Sus scrofa: one gene and its partners. The protein of the gene in region 2 binds, or shares a complex with, the protein of the main gene of each other region. Links are inferred from orthologs where the notes say so. Each region holds a gene or a part of one and is shown on either strand. Other genes may lie near its edges.

Region 1 (7,681 bases), on a different chromosome or scaffold from region 2:
GGCTTCTGGGAATCCCCAGCTGCCGGCATTTCACACCGGCTGCTGCTCCCCATGCCCTGCTCATCACAGTTTCCCACGACTTTCCCTCGCCACATCACATGCGCCCTTTTCTCCAGATTCAGCTCCCCCCAGCACCTTCACCAGGAAGGAACCCTATAGCCTTGCAAACCCTCAAAGCCCTGTTCTCTGAATCCTCTACTTCCCTCTTCACCCGGATCCTTCCACTGCCCTTCTCAGCCCCTTCATTCCTTCAGTCTCTCGGCTCAAGATTCCAAACCCAGCCAGGCCCACGCGGCCCCTCTTTAGGGCAGATTCGACTTGCCTTCTGCGACCACCTCCCCAGAGACCTCCCCCTCGGAGGCCTTGAAAGGTCTTGGTAGGCTGGAGTCTTCTCCCTGCTCCAGACCAGCAAGTCCCTTTCCCGCAATCCCTCCCGATCCCCAGCCTTGGGCCCTGAGATGCCAGGTGTGCCTAACACCTCTCCAGGCCCTGCCCCAGGGCGCCGCCCCCTCAGCCCCGCCCCCAGCCGCTGGCGCCTCACCTGAGACCTCGGCACCTGCGGGAAGAGGTTGAGTGTGGTGGGTCGCTTAGGCCGGTATGTGTCCCCGCCGCCCGGGCCCTGGCTCTGGCCGCGGGGCGCTGTCTCCTGGCGGGGCTCGGCCTCGGGCGGCCCCGCTCCCGGACGCCGCGCCGCGCGCTCCTCCTCGTCCTCTTCTTCGTCGTCCTCCGCGCCGGGAGTGTCCCCCGTCGCGTCGATCAAGTCCATCTGCAGCATCTCCGCCTGCAGCCGGCTCCCCCCGCCGCCGCTGCCGCCGCCGCCGCCGCCGCCCCCAGACAGCAGCCCGGCGCGTGGGGGCTGCGTGGCGCGAACGGAGGGGCGTCAGGGGGCGGGGCCTGGGCGGGGCCGAGACCGCCGCGCACCGCCCCCCGCGCGGGCGAGTCCATTCCGCGGCGGCAAAGAGGGGGAGAGAGGGAGCCCCGCGAGAGGGAACCGTGCCCTCCTGCCCCCTCGAGGATGGGCAAGGCCGCCTCCTCCCCACGTCAGTCGGTGCCTTTCGCAGTCCATACCTCTCCCCTCTCCACTGTTCCCCGCTTCCCGATTCTTTGCACCCTCCCGTTCCCTTGGCAACGGCCAGTGACCTCATCCTGGTAGTAAGCCGAGCCCAGAGTGAGGTCACCACTGTTGCCATGGGGACGCAGGGTCACCAAGGAGTTCAGCCCCGCAAAGGATGGAGGTGGGGTTAGTATTTTGAGGAGGGCAGTGAGGAAAACGGAGGAACCGATCTTAGCCAGGGGAGGGAGAGCGGGAGGGAAGCAGTGCGGACAGGAGGACAGGAGGACCTGAGCGCGGCTGGAAGAGGGATGCTGAGCAAATGGGAGGCACCTGAAGAGGCAGTGGCATCCCCACCCTCCCCCGTCCTCAGGTTGAGGCCCCTCCAACCTGACATTTTCTCTCAGGCCAGCCTAACTTTGACAGTTAAGAGTCCCGTTTTAGTTCCAGCTCTGCCATGAACTCCCTGACACCTTGGAGAGATCCCCCGACTCTCCAGGTCCCTCACCAGTTAACTGCCTACCAGCTTCCCAGAGAGGTGAGGACTCACTGGCAATACTATGTGAAAGCCCCCTGGAGCTTGTCTAAGGCCCCACAGGGTACTGCCTCAGGGTCCTGCGGGTTGCAAGGACCACCCTCTCCCTCTTCAAGGCTCAGCTTGTGTAAGTCTGGGGAGAGCACAGTGTGGGAGTCCCCAACAGGTGTATGACCTTAGAGAAGCTATGCTGGTCCACAATAAATGGCCTTGGAGTTCCTGTTGTGGCACAGCGGTAAACGAATCCGACTAGTAACGATGAGGTGGCTGGTTTGATCCCTGGCCTCACTCAGTGGGTTAAGGATCCAGCGTTGCTGTGAGCTGTGGCGTAAGTCGCAGACGTGGCTCAGATCCCGCATGTGGCTCTGGCGAAGGCTGACCCCTAGCCTGGGAACCGCCACATGCCACGGGTGCGGCCCTGAAAAGCAAAAAAAAAAAAAAAAAAAAAAAAAGCCTCTCTCTCCATCCCTGCCTGGCCTAGCCAGAGGGTGGTGGGTTGGGGTACAGGGTACTGGAGGGTTAGCCTCACCCTTTGGTTTCCTTTGGCCTGGCAGAGCTTGCAGAATCTCTGGGGGCAAGAAAAGGTCAACACAGGCACCCCACCCAACTCACTGCAGCTCTCCTTTGCTAACCATTCCCCCAACACCGTGTCTACTAGGGCCACCCACCCTCCCAGGAGCTGAGAGAAGCTCTGGGCTCTGCAACCTAGACTTGTGCTTGCCTTCCCTCTCCTGGCTAGCAGCCCCTTCTTCCTGTTCTGGAAAGACAAGGGAGAATCCCCATCCAGCCCAGGATCCCCACCTCCTGTGGGATTCAGAACTCTGGGAGTGGGAGCCATCTGTCCTGTGACAAAGGCATGGGGCCCAAAGCAGCAGCAATGTTGGATTAACCTTCCAGAGGCCTCCTTTGTGGGCCAGAGAGGGTCTGCGAGGCTGTGGGGTGTGCTTGGTGCAGTGGTGGCCAAGGGAGTGCCTTGGCTCTTTTGTCCTGCCCCAAAGCACTGCAGGTTCTGCCAGACTCCACCCTGCTCTGCCTCAGGACTTCTGCCATGGCCGCTCTGGAAAGGAATTAGGGGAGTCCCAAACCTTCCCTTAATTCTGGCCCTAACTGCTACTGTCCTAGACCTCAAGACTTCCTGCTCTCTTCCTTCTGGGCAGTTGAAGGAGCTGCTTCCTGCCTTTGCCCTTGGCAAAATATATAAATAATTTAAAAAATCTGAGCCATCAAGATAGGAGCCAAGCATCACACTGCATGTTTCCTGCATGTTATTTCATTTAATGAGAATGCCACGCAGACGCGGAAAGCCCCTCTAGATATAGAAGCGCTCTCACTCCTGTCCCTACCCATTCTGCCACCCCACTCAGGGGCTCCTGAGAGCCCGCCCTTACCCGTAAGGACAGGGTGTCTTTGCACTGCAGGCTGATGCCACACTCATCAGTGATCTCGGAAAGGTCTTCATCTTCAAACTCCTCCAGGCTGATGTCATGGGTGAGCCTGATGGGGACAGAAAGCCAGAGTTACCACTCAAGGGACTGTTGTCAGCGGACTGAGGCCTTCTGATGTCTCCCTAATAGCTCTTCCAAGGGACAGCCCCTCGAAGGCAGATCGCAGCCCCCAGAGGATGGGACCTGGGCTCCCCCTGCACCAGTGCAAGGGGTACTGAACAGAAAGGGAAAGAGTTTGGGGCTCGAGTCAAAAGGCAGGCCTCCGGGGGGGGGGGGCAGTGGAAAGGGAGGCCCCGGGTTATTCCAGCTCCTCTGGGCTGGGAGATGTCCACCCTGCTGCCAAGCAGGAGGCCCTGCCTAGAAGGCCCAGCTGGTCAGAGCTGAGGCTCTGCCAGAGAAATGGCTTCCAGGGTCAAGGCAGGTGCCAAGGCCAGTTCAGCCACAGAGGGGACAGAGAGAGATGAGAAGAGTCTCCAAAGGATGCCTGGAGTGGGGGTTCCCTGTACAATCTGTGCCGTGACCAAACCTGAGGTACTGGCAGAGGCCCTGCTCCACCTTGGAGCAGCACTCCATGTCCCCAGCCCAGGAAGTCCCATGCCTCATAAGCCCTGGGAGCGAGGCACGGGAATGCAGGGGTCAATGTGGGTGGTTTTAGCTGTTCTAGGAAAGACCGTGCCCCATTCTGTTCTTGGTCCCATCAGCGCACACCCCCAATCCTCCTGCCCCAGCCTCTGGGCCCTGAACAGCGGGGGTCAGGGAAGGTGGAGGTGGCCTGGGCTCAGAGGCAGACCCAAGCGCTTCAGCGCTTCAGCATCGAATCTCTAACTGGGTGTCCTGGGACCCTCTCCCCACCCCCCCACCCCACCCCCACCCACCGGCCCGCCCTAAAAGCCCCCCAGGGCGGGGCTGTCCCAGCCACTGAGCTCCCTGCGGGTCCCCTCACCTCTCCAGCCCCCCAGCCCCAGACACTCTGCAGGCTTCAATGTGGGAGGGACACTGGGAGAATTCTGCTAAGGAAGTTGGGGAGAATTGAGTCTTTTCCTCAATAAGACGAGGCGATTGAGGCACACAGCAAGGGAGACCCCCCGGTCCAAGGTCACTTAGGAAAGGTCACGGGCTCAGCCCCAGGGGAACCTCGGAGGCCCACACCCCGGCCTCTTGCCTCAACCCGACCAACAGAGACCCAGAGCTCAGTGGAGCTCCCCCCTCCCCCACCGGTCCCCGCACCCCTACCAGCGCTCCCACTGATCCTCCAACCAGCTGTCATTGTCTGGGCTCGAATCCATCTTCAGCACCAGCTGCATGGAGAGCCCTGCCCGGCCCGGGGGCTGCAGAGCCCCGGGGCCGCCCTCTCATGCCCAGAAGGGTGGGGGGGCCAGGGCTCGGGGCAGGGCTGGGGCCTCGGGCCTCCACAGCCTGGGCCTGCCTTTCTGCGTCCTGCCCGCTGCAGACGCCCGGGGAGCTCATTAAAAATAGATGGGCTGGGGGAAGAGGCAGCGGTTGCGGACCGGCCTGGCCCCAGCTCTTCCCAGCCAGCCTTCAGCTGCAGGCAGCTTCCTCCCCCGGCCTTTGCGCTGCCGCTGCCGTTGTCGCCTCCCCCGCGGGATCAGGTTACTGCAATCGATGCTACCGGCTCCACCTGCCCTTCCAATGCCCCTGTCGGGGGATGGGGTGGCCCCCCTCCCTGGTCCAGGCTTCTAAGCAGATGGCAGAAATCTGGGATATTTCCCCCCAAAAGCCAGCCCCTGATCTGCTTTAAAGGGCCAGCACCACAATTAGGGTTCACGGTGGCCAGACTGGGGGAGGGGGTTCTGAAATTCTCCAGAAGTGGATGCCCCATCTCCACAGCTACTCGCTCAGCCCCCACACCCCATCAGGGAGGTTTCTGTGGGCCCAGGCGGCGTCCACACAGGGCTGCCTGGGGTGGGTCGGGGCTGCTTCTATTGCCTGCCTGAGTGCAGCCAGAACCCTGCCCCCTTCTTGGGGCTTCAGACTTCAGCACCCACCCAGGAAGTGCCTAGAGGCACAGGCCAGGGCGAGGGGTGTGCGGGCCCTGGAGGGAAGGGAGGGAAGGAGTCTCCTGCCACTGCGGGGCGGGGCGACATAAGCCGGGAGGCCCCTAGAGGGAATGGCAAGGGGCACAGTGGGATTCTGACCAGCGCCAGGGGGCTGGATGGACAAAGTGCTCTTTCAGGCCCCTTCTGACCTGGAGCCCGAGGATGGTGGCTTCCCAGGGCTGGGGGTGGGCATGGTGTGGAATCAGGGGTCTCTGGGGAGGGAGCCCAGCCCGAAGCCAGGGCAGCCCTGCTCTGTCCGGCTGGTGCAGGGTGGCATCTCTGGCCCTGGGAGGAGAACCCAGAGGTGGGCACTAAGCAGATGGTCAATGCACACTGGCCGCCTGGCCAGACCCAGAGAGGGCAGCCCTGCCACTCAGCCAGCACCGGACAGCTGCAGGACCATGGGGATGTCTGACCCAGAGGTGCCCGATCTGTGTCTGCCCATCCTCAGTCAAGCTCCTGCATCTTCTGTCCCTGGCCTTCCCCACCAGCCGGCCTGCACCGCCTGAAACACTGCTCTTCTGTCCTCCACTCAAAACCCTCCAGGATTCCCTGCTAGCGGCCAACTCCTCGGCCTGGCATTCAAGATCTGCAGCTCCGTGTGGGACTGCCTGTCTCTCGCACCCACCTCCCCAGAGTCTAACCCAGCGTCTGGGTGGAGCACGTGGCAGGATCTCAACCTCTGCCTGCTGGTGGAAGGCTCAGATAAGCCTGCTCCTCCAGGAAGCCCTCCTGGTCCCCTGTCATTTCCCTCACTTGTGGTTGGTGTCACCATCTGCATGGAGGCATGGCAGGGTCTGAGAGCAGACAGGACTCAGCCTGCATCAGACACACACCCCCCAGGCAGCTCAGGGGTACATGGAGCCCACACCCCCTGCTCTGCATCCAGCAGATGATGAACCCAGTGCAGTCTGGAGGGCAGAGCTGGGACGGTCATCTCCCATGCACTAGGTGCTCAGGAGATGTCTGTTAAGGACAGCCTCGGTCTCCACTGGCTCCTCTCAAACCAACGTGTTCGGGGAAGACCTGCAGGCTCTGGCTTGGACATGGGCTGGGGCTTCTCAGCTCATCCCCACACGCCCGATCTTAGCATCAGCCGATATTCCCACTTCCTGGGACAGCAGGTCTGGGTCGGGCAGGGGCAGCTGTATCAGCCACTCCAGATGACGGACAGAGGGTACTGAGGGCAACGGCAGAGAGCATGGGCTGGGGCGCAAAAGCCTGCACTTGATCCCTGGCTCCAGTGGAACGGGTTAAGGGAGCTCCTTAATCTTACTTTTTCTCATAACCCAGGCAGGACGGTAGAATGGCCGCCATATCAGGTTTGGAGACAAGAGATCAAATCCTGACTCCCTCACTTACAAGGAGCGGCCGCCCCATCTCCTGAGCGGCAGGCGGGGTGCTCTAGCCTCCAGCCTTCTTTATCCTCGGCATCTCCCTTCATCCTCACTCCAGCTTTGGAAGAGCCATAAGCCCATTTTACAGATGAGGAGCACCAAAGCCCAGCCATAAGCTGTCGGACGCCTGCAGTTTCCCCACATACAACATGAGGCCCCCCGTACCTGGGGGCTGGTGAAGTGTCTGTGAATTGCAGGGTGCTGTGAGGAGGCCTGGCTGATCACGGAGGCCCCTCTGCAACTCATCCCCCTCCCCGGCCCCACCCCCACCCTTTCCTCCTGCTTCTCCAGATGCCAGATGTTCTGGGTCTCTCAGCCCAAGCCCCCGAGAGCCTTCACGGAGGGAAAGCTAAGCAGACCCTTGGTCCCTCTGAGCTCAAGGAGGGCAACTGCAGGGAGAAAGGAGGGATGGATTGAGGGAGGAGGGAGAGAAGGAGGGGGGAGGGAAGAGGGAGGAGGGAAGGAAGGAGGGAGGGAGGGGGGAGGGAAGGAAGGATGGAGGGAGGGAGGAAGGAGGAAGGAAGGAGGGATGGAGGGAGAGGAGGACGGGGGAGGGAAGGAGGGATGGGGGCAGAAGGGAGGTTCCTTCCTAAAGCCACCCATCCACCTTCCCCTTGGAAACCTGAGACCTGAGCACCACGAGGCCACATCACCTCCACAGGTCAGGTCACCTCACCTGCACAGGTCAGGTTGCAGCCTCTAGACCTGGAGACCCCAGCCCTGCGGAGGCAGCCACTGCTGGTCCATCAGACCCACTGGCCCATGCGAGTGAGATGGTTCCTGAGGTCTCGTCCCTATTAACGGTCACTCGAGGTCGTGGGTTTGGTCTCTGGAGACATCCCTGACCTTTGGCGTCTATCTTTCTATTCCAGGCCGCCTGTTCCGCCTTAACCTCCTTGCCCCCCACTGAGGCGCCCCAGTCCTTGCCTCTAGCCAGGCCGGCTCCCCGTACACTCTGAGTGCCACCTCCGCTCCCCCGCCTGAGTGGCGCTCACCTAAATGAACAGATAAGCCTCTTGAGTGCCGATCTTTATGTCATGGCCTTGTCCCTTGCCATGGGAAGGCTGCCACATCTCCGTGTTAGCCTGTTCCACCTAAAAACAGCAGGCTTTTTTTTTTTTTTTTTTTTTTTTTTTTAGGGATGCACCTGTGGCATGTGGAAGTTCCCAAGGCTGGGGGTCAATCAGAGCTGGAGC
Region 2 (7,681 bases):
TGCTGGCACAGAATAGAAACTGAAAATGTACTTCTTCAGTGAATGAATATCAATCTAAAGGTGAGAAAAAGAATGATGATAATTGAACTTTTCCACTCCCTGATGGATGGATATTTTTATAATGTCCTGCCTTTTCAACAGTTTTATGTTCTATACAAGTCATTTTGTCATTAGTCTAAAAAGTCTAGTTTTCCACTTTTTTAAAAAAAATTGTAAAATACACATAATAAAACTTACTCTCCTAGCTGTTTTTATTACACAATTCAGTGGTACTAAGTACATTCATATCATGCATTTTCCACTCTTTTCGTAGATGGTTTTGAGTTTCCTTTTCAACTTGGTTATTTATCTCTCAGTGCACTTGGCTGTGTCAACTAGTACACACTACTGCATGTATGATAGAATCCTCTGAGAGAAACTGAGACATGTCATCTCTTAACCATGGACATTATGTAATCCTGTTTGGAAATCAGGTCACCATTAGACTATTTGACTCATATTATCTAAGCAAGTTATTTTTTGTCACAGACTTTCCCAGTCTTTACTTTTTTTTCTTTTGGTTTTAGAGAATAAGTATAGTATGTTCTATATCTCCCTATTCAATTTCATATGTAAAATTTGGCTCATCTTACTAGATTGTTGGAGAATGCATTCTTTGATTTTTCACTTGTTGGCTTCACTTACCAGTTTTGCTCAGATGCCTTCATACTAGTTGGATTATTCATTAGTAACCTTTGGGTATACTGCAAAAATTACATGTCTAACAAAAAAAATTACACCTATCTCCCCAATTCTTCAACCTATTCACAAGGATATTATTATTAGTGACATTTTCAAAAATGCCTTTTTGAAATCTTCGTATATTATATCTGGTTGCATTTCTCTGATCTGCTGCTGTTTTTGTTGTTTTTACTCACAGAAGTAAATAAAGTTTCTCAATGAATTTTTACATGTTCCTAGTAATTTTTATTTCTTTTGAAGTAGTCATATACCACCACTTAATCAGGCCTTGACTTTTGTTTGTCCAGTCTGTGATCGATGTGATTTTCTTTATTTCTATTTTTGAAAAGCAGGACACCTGTCCATTTTAATCTTTTTCATAACAGCTTTATTGAGATACAGTTCACATAGACCATACAACGAACTCATTTAATGTGTAGAATTCAGTGGCTTTTAGTATATCCACTGATAATGTGTGACTGTTGCCACAGTCAGTTCTAGAACAGTTTTATCACCTCAGAAAGAAACCCCATTCTTTTAGCCTTCATTTCCCCATCTCCCATCCTCCTCAGCTCTAAGAAACCACTAATCTCCTATCTCTATGTGCCTTTCATCTTTAGCACATCTCTTCTCTTCTGGGATTTCCCAGATATTAACTAGAAGAGTTTTACTGTTTCTCCAAGTCTGTCCAATATATGATTCTTCTATTTAGGAGATAAGAATTCATTTAGAGCCACTAGATACTTATTATCATTTCCTCTGTCTTAAACAAATTTGTTTTACTCTCTGATTTTTTTTTTTTTTTGGTCTTTTGTCTTTTTTAGGACTGCACCCACGGCATATGGAGGTTCCTAGGCTAGGGGTCCAATTGGAGCTGTAGCCGCTGGCCTACGCCACAGCCACAGCAACGCCAGATCCGAGCTGTGTCTGCGACCCACATCACAGCTCACGGCAACACTGGATCCTTAATCCACTGAGTGAGGCCAGGAATTGAACCCACAACCTCATGATTCCTAGTTGGATTCGTTTCTGCTGTGCCATAACAGGAACTCCTACTCTCTGATCTGAAAATTATTTTTCTGAATTTATTCACTGAACAAATAAATATTTGAATGGCTTCTATAAGCAAAGCTTTATGCTTAAATGAGTAACATAGATTCTGCCCTTATAAAGTTTATATTGAGAAAAACATTCCCATTCCTAAATATAAAAGATAGGCATTTCAAAAATATATGTCAAGTATTTTCCTATATGCCACAATTATAAAGGGAAATAGGATGTTGTGGAAGTAAGACTATACTACAGGGTGTTAAATGTCATTATAACATAAGATATTGTGGAGACAAGTAGAATACTCAGCTCTGTCAAGGACTAAGGGTTGTCAAGCCCTACAAAAGTGGCCTGTTTTGAAGGTTTAGTAGTTAGAGGTTAGTAGGTTAATGACAAATATAGAGAATAGTATGTTTAAATGCCTTGACAGTTTTTTAAAAGAACAACATTCTTTAAACTAATTTAGTATGGCTAAATTAAACTAATTTAGTATGGCTTAGCAGGAGATGAAGTGGGTCGATGTCCTGTCATGGCAGGCTTTGAATGTACTGCCAGAGACTTTCGGAATTTTTTTGTTGGCATTACGTTTTTGAGAAAGTAAGTAATGTGATCAGGTCTTTTGATTACCATATAGTAGAGGCAGTAAAATAGTGGCTGGACTTGCAGAAAACCATTAGGGAACCAAGTGTTAGAAGTTATTATGGCATGAGCAGTGTTAGAATCCTCAGTGTGTGTAGTAGCACAGGGAGTGGAAGGAAGACGTTGAAGTTTAGACTGACGATAAAATGGATAGCATTCTTTTAAATACTTATTATGGTGCAAATATTGAAAAAAAAAGTAAAAAGTCATTTTTATCTTTCTATTGTAAAAGAAGACACTCTGGAAAAGCAAGGGGTTTGGGTAGGAACAATAATGAATTCAATTTTATATTGTTTTATGAAGCGTCATGTGAATAGCAATGAAAATTTGAGAATCGTAAGCTAAGCAGGGACTTTTAATGCATATTTGGGAATTATCCATAGAGATGTTTGGATAAGAACATATACATAATACCACCCAGGAAAAAGGTACAGATAAAGGAGAAAGATTAAGACAGAATAGTGGTAGAGAGGACATGCCTATGGATGTACTAATGGACTAGTAGTAAAGTTGGGAAAGTGTAATATTAAGAAAAACCAAGGGGCAAAAGGACTGCAATTATATAGAGGTATGGAGTTGGGTAAGAGCTGACAGAAGATGTTTAAGATTTGCTTACAAATTATGTAGAGGATTATATAATGTAGGTCCTTGGTAATTGAGTGTTCATTAATGGAATGGATCTTGAGATACTCTGTTGATATAATCTTTAAGGGTTATTTTTTTAGATTCACAACAAAATTGAAAGGAAGGTACAGAGATACCCCATATACCCCCCTACTCCCACACATGCATAGCTTCCCAGATTATTAACATTTCCTAGCAGAATGGTATATTTGTTATAATTAGTGGACCTACATTGACATATCTTTATTACTGGAAGTCTATAGTTTACATTAGGGTTCCCTCTTGTGATGTACATTTTATACGTTTGGACAGATGTATAATGACATAATGTATGCCATTATAGTATCATTCAGAGTATTTTCACTGCCTTACAGAGCCTCTTTGCTCTGCTTCCCTACTGTTTGCCCCCATACACTGGCCATAAAGTTTGTCTTTGGGTTTTTTGTTTTGTTTTGCTTTTCAGAGCCGCATTTTCAGGATATGGAAGTACCCAGGCTAGGGCAGTTCACATCAGATTTGCAGTTGCCAGCCACAGCCACAGCCACAGCAACACAGGCCTTGAGCCTTGTCTGTGACCTACACCATGGCTTTTGGCAGTGCTGGATCCTTAACCCACTGAGTGAGGCCAGGGATCAAACCCATGTCCTCATGGATACTAGTCAGGTTCGTAATTCGCTGAGCTACAGTGGGAACTCCTGATAAAGTTTTAATGTATAAAATAAGAGAGATTACTTGAGCTTAGAACAGAAGTCTGGAAAAAATTTTACACTGAGAGGTGTTTTGTTTGTTTGTTTTTTTGGCTGCACTCATGGCACCTGGAGGTTCCCAGGCCAGGGATTGAACCCACACCACAGCAGTGACAACACCACATCCTTAACCCACTGAGCCACCAGAGAACTCTTTGAGAGTGGCTTAAAAAAAAGAAAAAAAAAATCCACGGAGTTTCCATTTTGGTGCAGCAGAAACAAATCCGACTAGGAACCATGAGGTTGCCGGTTTGATCCCTGACCTCGCCCAGTGGGTTACGGATCTGGCATTGCCATGAACTGTGGTGTAGGTCGAAGATTCAGCTCAGATCCTATGTTGCTATGGCTGTGGCATAGGCTGGCAGCTGTAGCTCCAATTGGACCCTTAGCCTGGGAACCTTATTATGCTGCAGTCGCAACTCTAAAAAGCAAAAAATAAATAAATAAATAAACAATAAAAATAAATAAATAAATCCATTTATTTGCAGTTCCCAAATGAAAATATTGAGTAATGTAATTTCTAATTTTCCCATTTCTCTGCTTTTACTGCAGATAATTGGCCTTTTGAATGTTTTCACACCACAGAAATCCCTAGAAGAATTTCAAGATGTGTGAGTATGATAATTAAAATTTTTAGTATATTACTCTTCAATTATTACTGTATACTTTAGCTGTCATCTTTTTTCACCCATGAAGTTACATAGTTATGGAGCTCATGGATGCAAATCTTTGTCAAGTGATTCAGATGGAACTAGATCATGAAAGAATGTCTTACCTTCTCTATCAGATGCTTTGTGGAATCAAGCACCTTCACTCTGCTGGAATTATTCATCGGGTTAGTAGAAAAAAACAATCATATTCTCTTTTTAATCATTGAGGTGAAATTCATGTAATGTAAAATTAACCATCTTAAAGTGTACAATTCAGTGATATTTAGTGCATTCACAATAGTGTACAACTACTACCAGTATCAAATTTCAAAATAATTTCATTGCATTTCCCCAAACGAAAACTGCCTACCCATTAAGCAGTCACTCCCATTCCCCTTTTACTCCAATCCCTGTCATCTACCATTCTGCTTTCTGTGTCAATGAATTTACCTTTTCTGGATATTTCATATAAGTGGAATCATATAACACCTGACCTCTTTGACCTCTTATGTTTGGTTTCTTTAACTTAGCATGGTATTTTCAAGTCCGTCCACGTTGAGGCATGTATCAGTAGTTCATTCCTTTTTATGACTGTCTAATATTCTTTTGTATGTATTTACCACATTTTATTTATCTGTTCATCCATTCGTGGACATCGAGTTATTTCTACCTTTTAGCTTTTGTGTGGATAGTACTGTTATGAACACTAAGGTACATGTATTTGTTTGAGTTTTTGTTTTCAGTTCTTTGAGATATCTACCTAGGAGTTGAATTGCAGGTCATGTTTAACTTTCTGAGGAACCACCAAATTGGTTTTCCACAGTGGCTACCCCATTTTACATTCCCAGAAACAGTGCATCAAAGTTCCAATCTTTGCTAATAATGACTTTTTCATTCTAGCCATCCTAGTATGAAGTTGTGTCTCATTGTGGTTTTTGATTTGCATTCCTCTAATGACATTAAGCATCTTTTCATGTTTGTTGGCTGTTTGGATATATTTCTGTTTGTTTTTTAGGGCTGAACCTACAGCCTATGGAAGTTCCCAGGCTAGGGGGCGAATTGGAGCTGCAGCTGCTGGCCTACACCACAGCCACAGCAACACAGGATCCTAGCTGCCTCTGTGACCTACACCTCAGCTCACGGCAATACAAGGTCTTTAACCCACTGAGTGAGGTCAGGGATCAAACACACATCCTTATAGATACTACTCAGGTTACCACTGAGCCGCAGTGGAAACTCCTTGAATATCTTCTTGGGAGAAATGTCAAGCCTTTTGCTCATTTTTTAGTTGGGTTGTTTGTCTATTTGTTGTTGAGTTGTTAGAGTTCTTTATATATTTTGAATACTAGATCCTTATCAGATAAGTAATTTGTAAATGTTTGTATGTTGTCCTTTCACTTTCTTTTTTTCTAGGGCTACACCTGTGGCATGTGAAAGTTCTTGGGGCTAGGGATTGAACTGGAACTGCAGCTGCCAGCCACAGTCACAGCCACAGCCACACCAGTGCCGGATCCAAGCCACTTCTGTGACCTATGCCAGCAGCTCGTGGCAATGCCAGATCTTTTTTTTTTTTTTTAATTAATTAATTAATTTATTTATTTATTTGTCTTTTTTTTTTTTTTTTTTTTTTTTTTGCCATTTCTTGGGCTGCTCCTGCGGCATATGGACGTCCCCAGGCTAGGAGTCCAATCGGAGCTGTAGCCACCGGCCTATGCCAGAGCCACAGCAACACGGGATCCGAGCCGCGTCTGCAACCTACACCACAGCTCACGGCAACGCCAGATCGTTAACCCACTGAGCAAGGGCAGGGATTGAACCCGCAACCTCATGGTTCCTAGTCGGATTCGTTAACCACTGCACCACGACGGGAACTCCCAATGCCAGATCTTTAACCCTCATCCTCACAGACACTATGTTGGGTTCTTAACCTGCTGAGCCACAAGGGGAAACACTTCTTTTCACTTTCTTGATCTCTTTTGACACATATTTTTTAATTTTCATGAAGTTAGTTTATTTTTTCTTTGGTTGCTTGTACTTTTAGTGTCAAATGTATGTAAGAATCCATTGTCAAATCTGACGTCATTAAGATTTACCCTTAGTTTTTCATCTAAGAGTTTTATAGTTTCAGCTCTTACATTTAGGTCTTTGACCCATCTTGAGTTAATTTTTGTATATTGTGTGAAATAAGGTACCAACTTCATTCATCTGCTTATGGAAATCCCATTGTCCCAAGCACCGTTTATTAAAGAGACTATTGTTTTCTCCTTGAATGGTCTTGGCACCCTTGTTGAAATTCAGCTGGCCATGGACATGTGGTTTTATTTCTGGATTCTTAGTTCTCTGTTTCATTGGTCTTTGTGCCTGTGCTTATGTCAGTACCACATTATTTTAATCACTGTAACTTTGTAGTAAATTTTGAAATGGGAAAGTGTGAATCCACCAACTTTATTCTTTCTCAATCATTTTGACTACTTAGGGCCCCTTGTGATTCCATATGAATTTGAGTATCAGCTTTTCCATTTCTGCAGAAAAGGCCATCGAAATTTTAATAAGAATTTCATTAACTCTGTAGATTGGGTAGTTTTGCCATCTTAACTATATTTGTATTCTAATTGATGAACAAAGGAGGTCTTTCCATTTATTTAGGTTGTATTAGTCTATTTGGGGTGCTATAACAAAATACCACAGACTGGGTGGCTTAAATAATAAAATTTTTTTTCTCACAGTTTTGGAGGTTAGAAGTCCAGGACCAAGGCACCAGTAAATTCAGTTTCTGGTGAGAATAACTCCCTTCCTGACTTGGAGATAGCTGTCTTCTTGCCATATCCTCATATATGTGGATATATGTGCATGTGGGAAAAGAAAGTGAGCTCTGATGTGTCTTTCTTTTCTTATAAAGATACCAGTTCTTTTGTATTGGGACCCCACTCTTACGACCTTGTTTAACCTTAATTAACCTCCATAAGGGCCCTATCTCCAAATACATTTACATTGGGGGTTAGGGCTTCACCGTTTGAATTTAGATGGGGGAATACAATGTAGTTTATGACAGATCTTCTTTACTTTCTTTTAGCAATGTTTTGTAGTTTTCATTGTGCAAGTCTTCTCACCTCCTTATTTAAAATCTTTTCCTAGGTATTTTATTCTTTCGGAAGCTGTTATAAATGGAATTGTTTACTTAATTTCCCTTTCAGATTGTTAATTTCTAGTGTATAGAAGCACAACTGATATTTGTGTGTTCATCTTACATCC
Region 3 (7,681 bases), on a different chromosome or scaffold from region 2:
AACAACAAAACTGAAGGCCTGCCTTTGTGTCTCAGGTGCTTTTAAAAAATAAAAATAATAACAATAGTGACCTTATTAAAAGGTCAGTAGACTTTTTTTTACTCTTGATGATCATCAGAAACATATGCAAGAAAAATCTTAAAATTTAAGATGACATTTGCTGAATTTCTGAGTACTCAAGAAGTTTTCATTAAATAAATAACAATTGGTAGAAGTAACTGTTAAATTAGGCTGAGGCAAGATATGAGCATGAATTGATCTACAAAACCAAAACTATTTCCAGGTTATTCCCAAAGGTAGGTAGATTTGTTTTGTACTTATATAATTGATATTGATGATAATGACAATGCAAGCACTGAAAATTCTTGAATCAAACTTATACATAGAACAATCAAATATATTGGCTGAACACATGAGTATATACTGATTTCACTTCTACGAAGTTCTATTACAACTGCTAGTGACAAATATCAGAAGAATTGAGGGAGGTGGACTGACTGGGAAGGGAGATAAACTTTCTGGGTAGATGTTAATGTTTTATACCATAACAGGGATGGGAGTTATATGAATGCACTTAAACTGTAGGGTTAACATCAGTCCACTTCAATCTACGTAAATTTTACATTAAGAAAGGCTTATTACAAAATTATTAAGGTTAGAGAGTGGTCTGAAGTATAGATGAAACAAGAATGGCAGTTATATTGCTAATAATTGAGCTGGGTGATGGGGATGTGGGGGTTCACTGACTTTGTGTATGTTTGAAATCTTCCATAATTAGAAGCTTAAAAAAATGTAATAGGCTAATTTCCAAAGTAGACTAATTTCTGATCTTTTTATTCAACTAAAACAGGGCAATCTTATTTACTATCCCAATTAAAATAGGCAATCACCTAACTAAGGCTATTTTATATATTAACAAAATTCTAATAATAAATTTAATTGGGCTATTGGATTTTTAGGTGGGGCAACCTGTGACTCTCCATGCTATATTTTGGGCTTTCAACCAATGACTGTTTTTCATATATAAATTTTTGAAATATACCTTTGTTGTTTTTTAATATACAAGCATACAAAACACTTTATTTATTTATTTATTTATTTATTTTGTCTTTTTGCCTTTTCTAGGGCCACTCCCACGGCATATGAAGGTTCCTAGGCTAGGGGTCTAATCAGAGCTGTAGCCACAGGCCTATGCCAAAGCCACAGCAACAGGGGATCCGAGCCTACACCACAGCTCACGGCAACGCCAGATCCCCAACCCACTGAGCAAGGGCAGGGACCGAACCCGCAACCTCATGGTTCCTAGTCGGATTCGTTAACCACTGCACCACTACGGGAACTCCAAAACACTTTTATTCTTATTAATTTCCCAGTGACCTAAAAGAAAGTTATTCAGGGAAGTAAATTTAACAGTTTTTGCAAATATGGCCTGCTCTTGTAGCAAAGAATATTTCTTTAAATCTGATTTGTTCCTTTTGAATTAATTTGTGGGGAGACGTGTCCACTGAATATGTAAAAATATTTAAAATGCAGTGTACAACAGGATCACTAACTTCTATTTCTACTCAGTTCTAATTGAACTTTTCATTAGAACAGTAATGTTTAAAGTAGGAAATGTAAAAAACATTCCCTTAAGCTCTTCTGCTATCAATTGAAAAAGATTCATCTTCCTATTTCCGTGGCTTTGACCTAAACATGCTGTTATGTGAAAAATTCCTCTCTTGGGTTTTCTAGTTCTCTCACAATAATCCATAACCAGCTAATTTTTATATTCTTCAACATTATTCATTCAAATGGTATAGAAGTTATTAGCGGCCATTTTAGATTGATTATTTGCACTAATGGAGAACAGCAGTAAAAAATTTAAAGCCTGACAATAACACATAACAGGTTTTATGTGTAAAGATTTATATTGTTAATATAGTGCCTAGCACAGAACTGAAACCAATAGGTAATTAATTACCAATTTTCTAAGGATACATTCATTGACTGATGTTAAAGGGAATTAGCCCTAAAGTATATTAGACTTTAGAAGGAAGAATTATATGATTTAAAACAACAACAACAACAAAACAAGCTTGCCTACCCTTGCCCCAAAGTAGCAGCTTCAAATCTTCTTCCAAGAAAATTAGCAAGTTAGTAGGATTTTGTGCTAAGGAGACCCTAGAAATTAAAGCGTAATTCCACCCCCCTTTTAAAAAACAGATAAAGGAAAATGAGAATTTGATTAGGGGTAGTGAATAGCAGAATTAGGATTAAAACGATCATGTTCATCCCTTAACACCAATTTCTTAGTGTCTGAAACACAACTCAAAAATATGGTTTTCCTTTTATATATTATGTACAGTGTTTATTAACTTGTATACTATTTCAGAATTTTTGTTAGTACTGTTCTACTCAATTGTATCACTGTTTAAAACACTTATTATATCAGCACTGTCTCCAGATGATATACATCTAGTTTCAGCTGCAATATCCCTAAGCCTCCAGCAGGAGGAGAGTTTGTCTAAAAAGCCACACCAAAAACAAAAACCAACAAGAACTAGAACTTTACTCCCAATCTATCTGTTTGTTTTAAAAGTACCACTAACCTGTCACTATGTTAATGAAAGCTTTCCTTTTCCAAACTTTCTAGTTCTTCTATAATATAAATATAGTCCACAGTTTTATAAAACTTGATCTAAATTGTGCATTTGAATTGAACTTTAATGGAAAAAACTAATTCAAAACAGGCTCAAGGAAAATGCACACAACAAATACAATCTTGCTTACCATTTTTGCTTCTGACTGTACTGGCTGAGGAGAGGAAGGACCTGGAATTCCTGGAACACTAGGCACCATGGTGACTGGTCGAACAAGCTATGCAAAAGATATTGAAAAAGAACTGCTTGAGAATATATTCAAGAGATTTGTACTTTACTTACACAGTGGCTACTATAATACTTTACAAATTATAACAATATATATTAATATATGCCAATATATTATATACATTAAATATAATTATTGGAGACCTCAGAATCAGAAAACTGCATCTCTATATTAACCCTTTATTGATCTTAATCCTACTTTAGCCTTCAAAAGTTAATTTCTATGAGATACTTGCTTCCCTAATCTTTAATTTTCATTATTTTTTCAATGATTCCTTCTTTTTTCTTTTGGTCTTTTTGCCATTTCTTGGGCCGCTCCTGCAGCATATGGAGGTTCCCAGGCTAGGGGTCGAATCGGAGCCATAGCCGCTGGCGTACGCCAGAGCCACAGCAACACAGGATCCAAGCCACATCTGCAACCTACACCACAGCTCACAGCAATGCCAGATCCTTAACCCACTGAGCAAGGGCAGGGATCGAACCTGCACTCTCATGGTTCCTAGTTGAATTTGTTAACCACTGTGCCACATGGGAACTCCTCAATGATTTCTTCTTATAGAAAATCACAATATTCAAAGTGACTGGTTCAAAATTTCTCACAGATCTGTCACACTTCCATTTTGAATGAAAAAGGAAAAAATGTCAAAACTTTTAGTAATTGGGCATAAAAAATAATTTCAACAATGAATTTTTTTTCTAAAATACATATATGTAAAATTTCTAAAATACATAAATGAAAGTTCTTTGATATATTAATATAATGCATAATGACAAAGGAAAACCTGATTATTTCTAATAATAATAATAATGATATGGGGAGTTCCCATCCTGGCTCAGGGGAAACACACCATGAGGATGCAGGTTCAATCCCTGGCCCTGCTCAGGGGGTTAAGGATCTGGCGTTACCATGAGCTGTTGCGTAGGTCGCAGACAAGGCTTGGATCTGGCGTTGCTGTGGCTGTGGCGAAGGCCAGCTCCAATTCGACCCCTAGCCTGGGAACCTCCATGTGCCGTGAGAGTGGCCCTAAAAAAAATATGGAACATGTTTTTCCACTGTCTTTTGCCTTTTTTAAAAAAACTAATCTCAACAATGAATGATTAGTTATTGTATACCTAAAGGATATTTCTTTTCCATTTCAGTTTCTTTCATTGCAGTTACATTTAACAAGATAACCATATAATCCCAGATACAGGTCATCTTTTTCCCCTCAAAAATATCCTGAGAAAAGAGGAAGTAGTCACCTTACGTTTGAGTCCTTATAAAGTCTCTCAAATAATGCATTTTGAACAGCACAATTCTGTCTGAAGACAACACATCCTGAAATTATTTCAATCAATGCTTAGATACTTAGAAAAGTCAATTAGAAAAACCAATTAAAAAAGAAATATTTAACATTAATTTTAGTAATATTCTTGAAGATATAATTTCACCAAAAGTGTTGGATGTTACTGTAAGGAGGCAGTTATACGAGGAGTTCCCACTGTGGTACAGTAGGTTAATGACCCAGCTTGTGTCTGTACAAGGCCCTGGTTCAGTCCCCAGGCTGATGTAGTGGGTAAAAAGATCTGCAGCTGTGGTGAAGTTTGCAGATGCAGCTTGGATTTGATCCCTGGCTCAGGAACTTCCACATGCTGTGGAGGTGACTGGCCCCCCCTTCTCCCCCCAAAAAAATCCCCCAAAATTATAGAACAAATGATTATATTGAACTGATCAGAAATATCTACCTACAAGGTAAAAGAAGAAACTGTCTTTATATTGTATGTGTGAATATTAGGGCTTGGTATTAAGATTTCCCAGGTTATAATAATAACTGATTAAAAAAATGTTAAATTGAAATTAATTAGATGAGGATAAAAATATTGTGTTTTGGAAAATTGTGCTGGATTTCTTAAAAATTGGTTCTAATAATGAAAACTTCAATGTCAAAGACACATGTGAAGTATCTGAGTAAAAACAGTTTCATAAAATGTGAGAATAGGAAAAAAGCATTATTTCTAAGTTAATGTTAATTCAAAGAATATGCTTTTAAATATTCACTAAATTATTAAATATTACAAGTAGATATTTAACTATTATCTATTGTTTTTCTAACATGCTCCTCAGAACTTTTGTTTTAGAACTTCTCATTAGGAAAGTGGGGGACTTTCTACTAGACCATTTAGATTTTCACACGCTTGGGACAGCAAAGGAATTTTGTAAACCCAACTTGACCATAAAAGTTCACAGAGAGTGCTTTTCTAAACAACTTCTATAACAATCAAAATACTGTGAGTTACCTGATAAATGTTCCAGTATAAATATCTTCATAAAGAATAAAAAAAAAATCTGTGTTAGTTTGAATTCTACATTCTAGCAAATTCAAATGGGTTGAGCAAGGAATAAAGTTCTTAATACCAGAAATATAAGGAAAACAATTAGCATTTTGAGGATGGAAAAATGTTTTCTACCAATTATGTCTGCCTTGAAAGGTAAATGCTATCACAAAAAATATCAGTGAGTAAATACTTACCACTAATAAGTATTTCATTGGATTCCCTTTCATAAAACTAATCAGGCAGCCCCAGGTGTATTTTCTGATTACAAAGATCAGTTTGTAATAAAGAAAAGATTTAAATAGTCTAAATTTCAAACTTACTGGGACTGCAGTTGGAACATGCACATTAGAACTTGTAATTGATGCAGGAATAGCAACAGGCATGGTTTGTCCATTAGGAAGATGTAACAGAAGAGGAAATGGGCCTGGTACAGGACTAAGAAAATAACAGAAGGGTAATTATAAAAAACAAATCCATGTCAATAATCTCTAAAACTATAAGAGTATTTCTATTTATTATCACTTAAAAATAAATTTTCTAGAGAAAGACAAACACTATATGAATTCACTTATATGTGGAATCTAAAAAACAAAACATGAACAAACATAACAAAACAGAAACAGAACAGTCAGGCGGCTGCCAGAGGGAGGGACGGTAGAGGGATGAGAGAAACTAAGAGGTACAAACTTCCAGTTACAAAATTAATGAGTCAGAGGGATGAGATGCACAGTGTAGGGAACACAGTCACTAATAATGTAATATCATCTTTGTATGGTAATAAAGGTAGTCAAAAGGTACAAACTTCCAGTTATAAGATAAATAAGTACCAGGGATGTAATGTACAACATGATCAATGTAATTCACACTGTTGTACATTATATATGAAAGCTGTTAAAATAAGAGAGTAAATCCTAAGAGTTCTCATCACAAGGAAAAAAATATTTTTTAATTTTGAATCTGTACAAGATGAAATATATTCACTAAACTTACTGTTGGGAATACTCCATAATGTATGTAAGTCAAATTATTACGCTGTACACCTTAAATGTATATACTGCTATATGTCAACTGCAGGTGACCCTTGAACAACACAGGGGTTGGTGCACTGATCCTATGTATGGTGAAAAATATGAGTGGAACTTCCAGTTGGCCCTCTGTATCTGCAGATGCAACCAAGTTCAGATTAAATTGTATAGTAGTATGTATTTGTTGAAAAAAATCTGCCTTTAAGTGGACCCATGCAGTTCAAAAAGTGCTGTTCAAGGTTCTACCATATATTTCAATAAAACTGAACAAGAAAAAAAAAAACCCTGCAGCTCCAGGCTAAGGAAAATGCCCATTTGACAGATGAAACCTGATACCATCTTTCTCATATAATGAACAAAATACCCACAAAAAATTATACATGGCATATACATACCACTCAACTAAAAACAAAAATTTTCTAACCACTACAAAGCACACTGTAAAATCTATTTTAACTATATCTTATATGCAAAATGTATATAAACAGTGTAGAAAAAAATGGAAAAAGTTATGAATTTACTTAGGATCATCTCCAATATGTTAGATGAGGAAAGTTCCTACCCAGAAAACTCTTGAGAGCTACCTCTAAGAACTAAAAGAAATGTTACCTGGTGATAAAAGTAATTTTATGTATTTTGTGTGAAACAGCATGAAAATAAGAGATCATCTTAAAAATCACATTTTATATTGATTTGTTTTTAAAATTATGTTTTCTAGTTTATTAGATAATACTTATATTTATTAAAAAAAAGACTACCCAAGTACTTTTTCTAAAATTCAAAGCATGTAAAATATGATCAACACACAAATATCTTAGGACAAATTTTGACAAGAAAAACTTAATTCATATAATTCAATAATTGGCCCAAATCACTTACACAATTGGCCTGTTGGAAGATGGTGCCTGGGTGATGACAGTACTTGAGGTTGGTGAAGGTACTGCCTGCTGAATAATTACGCTTGAGTCAGAACTTGTAAGCAGCACATTGGGAACCTGTAATGATGCTGGACGAACAATAGCTGATGTGGGTTGTGCAGTTTGTGCCAAAGGTACTTCCTATTTAATAGTGAGACAGAGGAAGAATGCAATTTAAAGTGCAATTCATGTTACCTTAGTGAACAGAATATATTTTTAAAAACAACCACAAACATAATACTTAATACCCTCCCCAAGTATATTAATATGTAAAGTTAATTAAAAGAAAGTGTGAGAAGCAGCTATAGGAGTTCCTGTCATGGCTCAGCGGAAACGAATCTGACTAGCATCCATGAGGACACAGGTTTGATCCCTTGCCTCACTCAGTGGGTTAAGGATCCAGCGTTGCCGTGAGCTGTGGTGCAGGTTGCAGACTCGGCTCGGATCTGCTGCTGCTGTGGCGTAGGCCAGTGGCTACAGCTCCAATTCGACCCCTAGCCTGGGAACCTCCATATTGCCATGTGTGCTGCCCTAAAAAAACAACCAACACCCC
Region 4 (6,898 bases), on a different chromosome or scaffold from region 2:
AGATTTTGGAATGACTCTTCCTTCCTTGGTTTTTCCTACAAGAATTAATAACCACCCACACACTACAATATACTGTGGATATTTATGTGGTTTTTCTTCTTCCTACCTTGTACCTATTCTGCATTCAATCCATCAAGAGACCTTTATCTGAGGTTGCCTGAGGTGCTACGCAGCAGTGTACGTCTGGCATTCGAGCTAAGATGTGTGTTCCCTGCGAATGACGGTAACACAGCTGACAACCTCAGCGCTTCGCTTTGAGCTGGATCCTCAGTCGGGCAGACAGAACAGGCCCCACCACTGCCTCCTTTCCCGCTTGGACGTGCTGCTCCCACCAGGTTTACTGCTGCAGAGAGAGGGCCTTTTCATGTTTATGTATAAACAGGTACCAGTTTTGATTTTATTTCATCGTATTAACATTCATGACACATCAAAATGAGAAATGCACGATTTAACCATTCAGCAGCTTGCCTTGCTCCAAAAGAACACTCTATTCATAATAAACATTTACACATTGCCACCAAACTTTACAAATGTCCTAAACCATTTCCCAGCATTTCTCACAGAGAAGTCTAGTTCTGCTCTTTCCGATCACCATTCTGTATCATCTGGTATCATCCAGGGCTCCCCTCTCTGACCCCACCCTGCAGAGGGCCAGCCACCAACCCGCCAGTGCTGTCCCTGCTGCGCCGGGGCGGGCCTGAAGCTGCCCATTGGGCAGGGCCGTCTGGACTCCAAGGACTGCTCATTTGCTGTTAGCCATCAAAGACTAAAGGCTGTCATGACCCCATCAGTCACAGGAAGGAAGGGGACCATGGCCAAGAGAAATCCCAAATGTTGAAAGGCCGGTTTTCCCCCAAACATCTCTTTAAAACCAAGTCCCGCCACCGTCCTGAAACATCCACTGGAGCCACTGCTTTCATTGCTGAAAAATGTTCCACGGTTGTGACCAGACTCTGGAAGTACATTCGGTGCGTGTGTACAAAACACATCAAAAACTACTCTGTCAAACCTGGATAATGTCTGATGACATCCAAACTTAAACGCATTTAGAAAAACGAAATCACCGAACAGAACTTTTCCCACATGGTGGTGACGCACTCCCGCCACAGTTGACTCCCCCATTTCATACCCCGTCACTGCCCGTCATAAATTTATGAGTAACCAGTTATGTTCTATGAAGCTTGTAATCGTCACGATCAAGTCAGTTTTGAATCATGTCATTCTATGCTGGTTTTAGCTGTCACCATAGGAAACATGAAGTCACATCCTACTCAAAGGACTGTCCATTTCTCACACGTAGAAAAACCTGAGATATGAGTCAGCAACTAGCTACACTTACAGTAAAGAACAACGCTGACACCCACCCGCCACCCTAAAAAAAAAAAAGCTGCTGACGTGAATTAAGGCTTCAAAACAGGACCAGACTGTAGCTGACAAAACTCAAGCCAGTAAGTTTCAAAGCAGGTAAGTACGGCCACTTGTGTACTGGTTCTAACCACCTCCTATTTTCAGCTGCCAGGATTGATTCCATACAGTGATTGTAGGTCACAGACGGAGACCCCTTGGTCCCGCTCCATTTTGATATGTCCCTTCTACTAAAAAAAAAAAAAAAAAAAAAAAAAAGCTGAGGATAGTTTCTGAGAAGAGCTTGGCTGTGTATTTCCCCTGTGTGTGCCATGCAACAGAATCCACCGTCTTTTCCTCCCCTTCCTGGCTGGTTCCGACCAGGCCTTGCTTCCTCACCCAGGCCTCTCTCAGCCCTAATGGGGACTCTGGAAATCCAAGGAAATCAGAGAAAGACCACCCTCGTCGCGTGCTGACGGGAAAAGCCACTGAGAAAACAGCAGTTTCCTGCTTCTCCTCAGCAGTCTGACCGTCTCTAATCCTTGCACAGTTTTCTCCCTCTTGGTCATTTCCTATAAAATTCTACCTCATCGGTCCATTTTCACAAAACACATCTGTGCAGGGGAACCGAAACAGAAAACTCGTGTGTCTGGTGTGGCTGAGAACTTGAGGGTGCTGCTGCTCTGCTACCCCATAAATTCACATCTGGCTTGAAAGCTAGTTAATCCTTATTGAAAGGATTAACAATCCCAGCTCGAACAATTCTTTGATTTATAAAGAGGGAGGTAGACTTGTTTAGCCTCCCGACCTTAGCTTAGATCACGCCGCCAAGACTCCCGGCTGTCACCTTGAATCCTAGAGAGCATCCCTTTCTTCACAAAGAGAAGAAGGAAGGAAGAATGAGCGACCTCCATCCAGGCCTGGCTGGAAACGTGTGCCCAGACGGTCGGAACTGGTCTGAAAGGTGTGACTAGCTACTCACCATGCCTAGAAACCGGGCCGCTGGACCTGGTAGTGGTGAACGCCCCCACTTTCTGCCTGAGGTACTGGGTTTGCTCTAAAGTTAATCTTAGCAAGGCCCCTGACGGTCGGTCAGCAGAACGATGCTCGCATCGCTTAGCTATCTTAAGGTGAGCTTGGATTTGTGAATCAGCTTGGGAGATGCTCGCTGCTCTCGGCTTTACCATTAGGTTCTGGTCCTAGTAGGGTCTCCCCACCTGACCCACAGGCTGGCTCAGTCTCAGTGCTAAGGTGCACTGCAGAAGGGACTGGACAGGACTAGTGTCTGAGATCGCTCTGTAGCACGACAAGAAAACAATGGGGGCTTCTGTCCCCTCACACCCCAACACAACTCGATTCACTACGATCAGCAGGATGTGCAACCCGCTGCACAGAAGTGTGTCACCTGTCGGGGGAGAGCGAGCACCTGCCCTTCCGCTGGCGTTGAGAGGAATACCAGCTGCGCTCTCAAATGCAGATGTTGGAAAGGACAACGGTGCTGATCCATCTTTTGCTTTTACACCAGAGCTCCACTTTCCAAAAATATATATGTATGTACATATATATATTTCAGATTTACAGGGAATAAGTTTTGTGAACAAGGACAGAACGGTCCAGAGAAGTCGCAGGTGCCTTGCTTCTCAGGAGACCTCGATGATCTCCATGCTGCCCGAGAAGCTCGACTGGCTGCCCACCTTCCCCAGCTCCTCCCGGGACCGCTTGTCTGACAGGATGCTCTCTCCAAACTCCATCTGGCAGCTTCTGCGTTTGAACTGCTTTTCAAAGGGGCTCTCCTCGTGCCAGCTGCGCCGGGAGTCGGCCCTGTCGCCGGGCTTCTGCCGCCTGCGCACGGAGTGGCCTGGGTCACCGCCGGTGGGCAGCTGGCTGCAGCTGTAGGCGGGGTAGCCGGTGGGGCCCCCGTAGACGGCCGAGGTGGAGTAGAAGCGAGAGGGCTCCGCGGCGAAATACCAGCTGCTGCTCAAGGCAGGGGTGGAGGTCGGGGGGGCCAGGATGTCAGAGTGCCAGCCCTTGAGGCCCAGCCCGGCGGCCGATGAGGCGAGGTGCTGCTGGCTGGCCGAGAGGCCGAGGAGGAAGCCGGCGTGGCAGTTGTCCTCCACGCTCCCGCTGCGGTGCAGGGGCGAGAAGAGGGGCCGCACCGGGTGCAGCCGCTTGCTGGGACCGTCGACGGGCCTGGGGGGCTGCGGCTCCTGGGGGAGGCCGGCCTCCTCCTTGTCGGGGCTGGCCTCCGGCGTCTGTTCCGACACCTCCTGCACCGGGGAGAACTGGCACGGCTTGCCCGCCCCGTCCAGCGCAGAGGGCGGCTTGTAGTACTCCAGGACCTCCTCTGTCGAGGGGAAGCCGTGCAGGGATGCGGCCACGCCGGCTGAGTACGACAACGACTTGATGTCCAGGGAGAAGGAGCGCTTGAGCCGCCCGCTGTCCTCTGGCCGGTCCGCGGGCAGGTGGAGCCCGTTGAGCGCCTGGACCAGAGGACTGTCCTCGGACGGTGGGGGCTGGCTGAGGGTGGGGAGCCCAGGCCGAGGCCCGGTCGCCTCTGAGGTAGTGGGGTGGGTGCAGGGCGGCCCGGGGGTGGGCTCGCCTCTCTGCCCACCGTCCGGGGGCACGGGGCCGGGCTCGCTGGGCTTCTCCAGGTGCAGCAGCTTCAGTCTGCTCTTGGACCCCGACGTGCCCGGCTGGGTCTTAATCTTCTTCTCGTAGTCCAGGAGCTGGCCCAGAAAGTTGAAGTTCGGGGATATAGTCGGTCTTTTTTCTTTCACAAATCTGTGACGAGAGGGAAAAAACAAAGACTTGAATTTGACAGCCACCTTTTATCTTTAAGGATGTTACTAGAGTTTGGCGGCGGGGGGTGGGGTGGGGTGGGCAGTTCAAGAGCTGCCCTGGTCGCTGCTGTGGCGTGGGGTCGATCCCTGGAGGGGCAACTTCTGGATCCCATGGGTGCCCCCCCCAAAGTTATTAAGCTATATCAAGTGAATGGATGACGTGGGGATTATTAGATCCTCCCAAGACCTTTGGAAGATGACTGGTTTGAAAGTCCAGGGAAACCATCAAGTAGAAGAGAAGGGCCTCTGCATGGGGGGAGAGCTTTAGAGCGTGTCCCTGGAGATACCAGAAAGAGGGGAGCCAGGCCCCTGAAGTTCTAAGGTTAGCCCCACTATTTTCAAGGACCCAAACTTCCGATGCAACTGGTAAGAGATGATTCTTTCCTCCCTACCTGGGACATCCCCACCCCCACCAACACTCCCATCACAAGGACAGCTGAAGGAGTTCCCTGGTGGCTGAGTGGGTTGAGGAGCCTCCATTGTCACTGCTGTGGCTCAGGTCGCTGCCGTGGCATGGGTTCGATCCCTGGCCCAGGAATTTCTGCATACCATGGGCACAGTGAAACCAAAAAAAAAAAAAAAAAAAAAGTAGAGCTGAACAGCCATGCCCCACCTTCGACTTGCCAGTGTCAAAGTCCCGCATGTCACTTCAAGACAGTTCACATTTTAAGTTAATGACCCAAAGAGAGGGTATCAGGTGGCCAGAGCATCAAAGCACACCCTTCTGAGTTCTTTCTCTATGCATTCAATGTGACAGCCAGCTAGGTACAAAGTGGCCTCTGTCTGCTAAGCATTATGCTAATGAGGGAACTGTAGTGTTTTCTCATTCGACCTTCAAAACTACCCTCTCTGTCTGGTGGGTGTAACTATCCCCATCAGAGAGGTACCCAAATTCCTTAAGTGACTTGCCCAAATCACAGAGCTACTAAAGGATGGGGATGGGATTCAAAACCAGCTCTAATGCCTGGGTTCCTTTCTGTAACCACCACGTTACACAAGAGTCATCAAGGGATCAAAACGTAATAAACAACTTTTTATGCTTCATGGTGGCAACAAAGACCCTGAGAACCAGTAGATTAATTCTTTAGTGGCCCCTGACCCTCGTGGACACTCAGCAGATGTAGGTGTGAAAATATACTGAAAATTTGTATTTGAATAAGGAAGGAAAGAGAAAAATCAAAAATAAGCTTCCTGGAAATCAAAGTAACCTAAAGCAAATGAACAAAGCCAGAAATAACAGGCTCAACTATGACGAATGTAAATACGGGGCCCTCGTGATAAGACCTTGTAACAGGATTAAACGGGTGCCTTTGTGCTGGTCTACAGGGCAGGAGGACCTTGGGGATGGGAGCCGGGGTGGAGGAGGCGGAGTGATGCAGGCACGGAGGACCTCCTTCCTCGAGGGAGAAGCTGTTCAGGTAGCTCGTTTCTTTTGTCCAAATTTTCCAACTTGAGAAAAGTCCATTTGTTACAACAAGCCTCCGTGTGCCTCTATTATTGATGCTTTATCACAGGTGAACTAACCACCCCTATCCAAGGAGACACAGAGGGCTCGGATTCAATGAATCCCTGAGTAAACCCAGCGCCTGGTGCTGCTGTCACTGCCACCTTCTAGTGGGGCGACCCCAGGAAACAGACGCTGTGAAAACCTGGCATGCAGGAAATTCTCCTTCACAAATGGAGTTCGACGACGATTTGGGCTTTTTCCTCACAGTAAAAGAGACTCAAGGTTTAAAGCACAGTAGGAATTCTATCATGAGTATTCTGCAGCATTTTTTTCTCATAGGTAAAAGCAGAACAAATGGTATTTCCCCAACTAGGGAAAGATATAAACTCACCTAACAGGATGGAGAGCTCCAGATTTGTTCCTAAACTTAAAAAGCAGCTGAGGATGAATGTGATACATGTGGAGGGACAATTAGTGCTAAGTTACAAAAATGCATGTTTCTCCAATCTTGGAAACACCTTTTAAAAAATCCCCAGTACCTGTAAAGCCTGTAACTAAAATCATCACAGTCTGCTTTCACGTGGTGACCCAGCCTCACGTCTCCTGGTGTCTCAGGTCCAATGAGAAGCTGGTCGCGCAGGACGCGTGCCTGTCCTCACCTGTAAGCTTCATCCAAGGACATGTCCATCCTCTTCATGATGTAGGCGATGGCGATGGTGGCGGAGCGAGAGATCCCTGCCAAGCAGTGCACCAGCACGCACCCGTTGGAGGCTTTTGCTTTCTCTGTGTGAGTCCAATTCAGAAAGGATGGCTAAGCACAACTTTTCTCAGCAGTGAAATCTTGTTTCCATTTACTCACACAGTGTCTTTCAGCGGGCAACTCAAAGCCCGACTCTGTACGTGGTGTTCCTTTCAATACTCGTTTAAGGAGGGAGGGGGAGATGAGTTTCCCACCATTTCCACAGAGAACTATCAAAGTCCAAATGTAGGAATAAGAAGCCATTTGTCCCTAACTCAGGTTGCCTCTTGTTCAGTACTTCCACTGCATATGTTCTTCCATTATGTATTATTACTTTAATAACTCCCTGAGTATAAACTGTACATTGTGATAACATGATTCTACTTGTTTAATGTAGAAAACCTTAGAAATACAAAATATTGTAAAGAAAGTAACATCCCAAATCCTAAGACTCAGCTAATATTTTGTTTACCCAGATGTCTTTTTTTTTCTTTTTTCTCTTTTTAGGGCCACAATGTGGCATATGAA

Evidence for each region.
Region 1: the proteins of MAPK8 (region 2) and MAPK8IP1 are in contact, whole or in part, in a crystal structure (PDB 3VUM), measured with the Homo sapiens proteins. The link is inferred for Sus scrofa from reciprocal best matches to the Homo sapiens genes MAPK8 and MAPK8IP1. Residues at the interface, in NP_001310257.1 of Homo sapiens: Lys83, Asp112, Ala113, Gln117, Val118, Met121, Leu123, Glu126, Arg127, Tyr130, Tyr133, Val159, Lys160, Ser161, Asp162, His286, Val323, Trp324, Asp326, Glu329; in NP_005447.1 of Homo sapiens: Arg157, Pro158, Lys159, Arg160, Pro161, Thr162, Thr163, Leu164, Asn165, Leu166.
Region 3: the proteins of MAPK8 (region 2) and ATF2 are in contact, whole or in part, in a crystal structure (PDB 6ZR5), measured with the Homo sapiens proteins. The link is inferred for Sus scrofa from reciprocal best matches to the Homo sapiens genes MAPK8 and ATF2. Residues at the interface, in NP_001310257.1 of Homo sapiens: Asp112, Ala113, Gln117, Val118, Met121, Glu126, Arg127, Tyr130, Leu131, Tyr133, Val159, Lys160, Ser161, Asp162, Cys163, Val323, Trp324, Asp326, Ser328, Glu329; in NP_001243019.1 of Homo sapiens: Phe36, Val44, Lys48, Met51, Thr52, Leu53, Lys54, Phe55, Gly56, Pro57.
Region 4: the proteins of MAPK8 (region 2) and DUSP16 are in contact, whole or in part, in a crystal structure (PDB 4YR8), measured with the Homo sapiens proteins. The link is inferred for Sus scrofa from reciprocal best matches to the Homo sapiens genes MAPK8 and DUSP16. Residues at the interface, in NP_001310257.1 of Homo sapiens: Arg189, Val196, Ile197, Leu198, Gly199, Asp229, Ile231, Trp234, Gln253, Thr255, Val256, Thr258, Tyr259, Val260, Asn262, Arg263; in NP_085143.1 of Homo sapiens: Phe215, Leu267, Asp268, Tyr271, Lys275, Pro279, Ile281, Ser282, Pro283, Asn284, Phe285, Asn286, Leu288, Gly289, Gln290, Leu292, Asp293.

The regions. Positions count from the first base shown.
Region 1 is NC_010444.4:16,569,486-16,577,166, forward strand, and holds part of MAPK8IP1 (C-Jun-amino-terminal kinase-interacting protein 1), read right to left. Parts: intron 4,640-7,681; exon of another isoform or gene 4,336-4,639; coding exon of another isoform or gene 4,265-4,335; intron 3,081-4,264; coding exon 2,975-3,080; intron 857-2,974; coding exon 542-856; intron 1-541. UniProt on the Homo sapiens protein: The JNK-interacting protein (JIP) group of scaffold proteins selectively mediates JNK signaling by aggregating specific components of the MAPK cascade to form a functional JNK signaling module. Required for JNK activation in response to excitotoxic stress.
Region 2 is NC_010456.5:89,070,948-89,078,628, forward strand, and holds part of MAPK8 (mitogen-activated protein kinase 8), read left to right. Parts: intron 1-4,331; coding exon 4,332-4,390; intron 4,391-4,475; coding exon 4,476-4,614; intron 4,615-7,681. UniProt on the Homo sapiens protein: Serine/threonine-protein kinase involved in various processes such as cell proliferation, differentiation, migration, transformation and programmed cell death.
Region 3 is NC_010457.5:81,015,169-81,022,849, forward strand, and holds part of ATF2 (cyclic AMP-dependent transcription factor ATF-2), read right to left. Parts: intron 7,270-7,681; coding exon 7,091-7,269; intron 5,622-7,090; coding exon 5,507-5,621; intron 2,860-5,506; coding exon 2,773-2,859; intron 1-2,772. UniProt on the Homo sapiens protein: Transcriptional activator which regulates the transcription of various genes, including those involved in anti-apoptosis, cell growth, and DNA damage response.
Region 4 is NC_010447.5:59,955,306-59,962,203, reverse strand, and holds the end of DUSP16 (dual specificity protein phosphatase 16), read right to left. Parts: intron 6,415-6,898; coding exon 6,291-6,414; intron 4,126-6,290; coding exon 2,985-4,125; 3' UTR 368-2,984; downstream 1-367. UniProt on the Homo sapiens protein: Dual specificity protein phosphatase involved in the inactivation of MAP kinases. Dephosphorylates MAPK10 bound to ARRB2.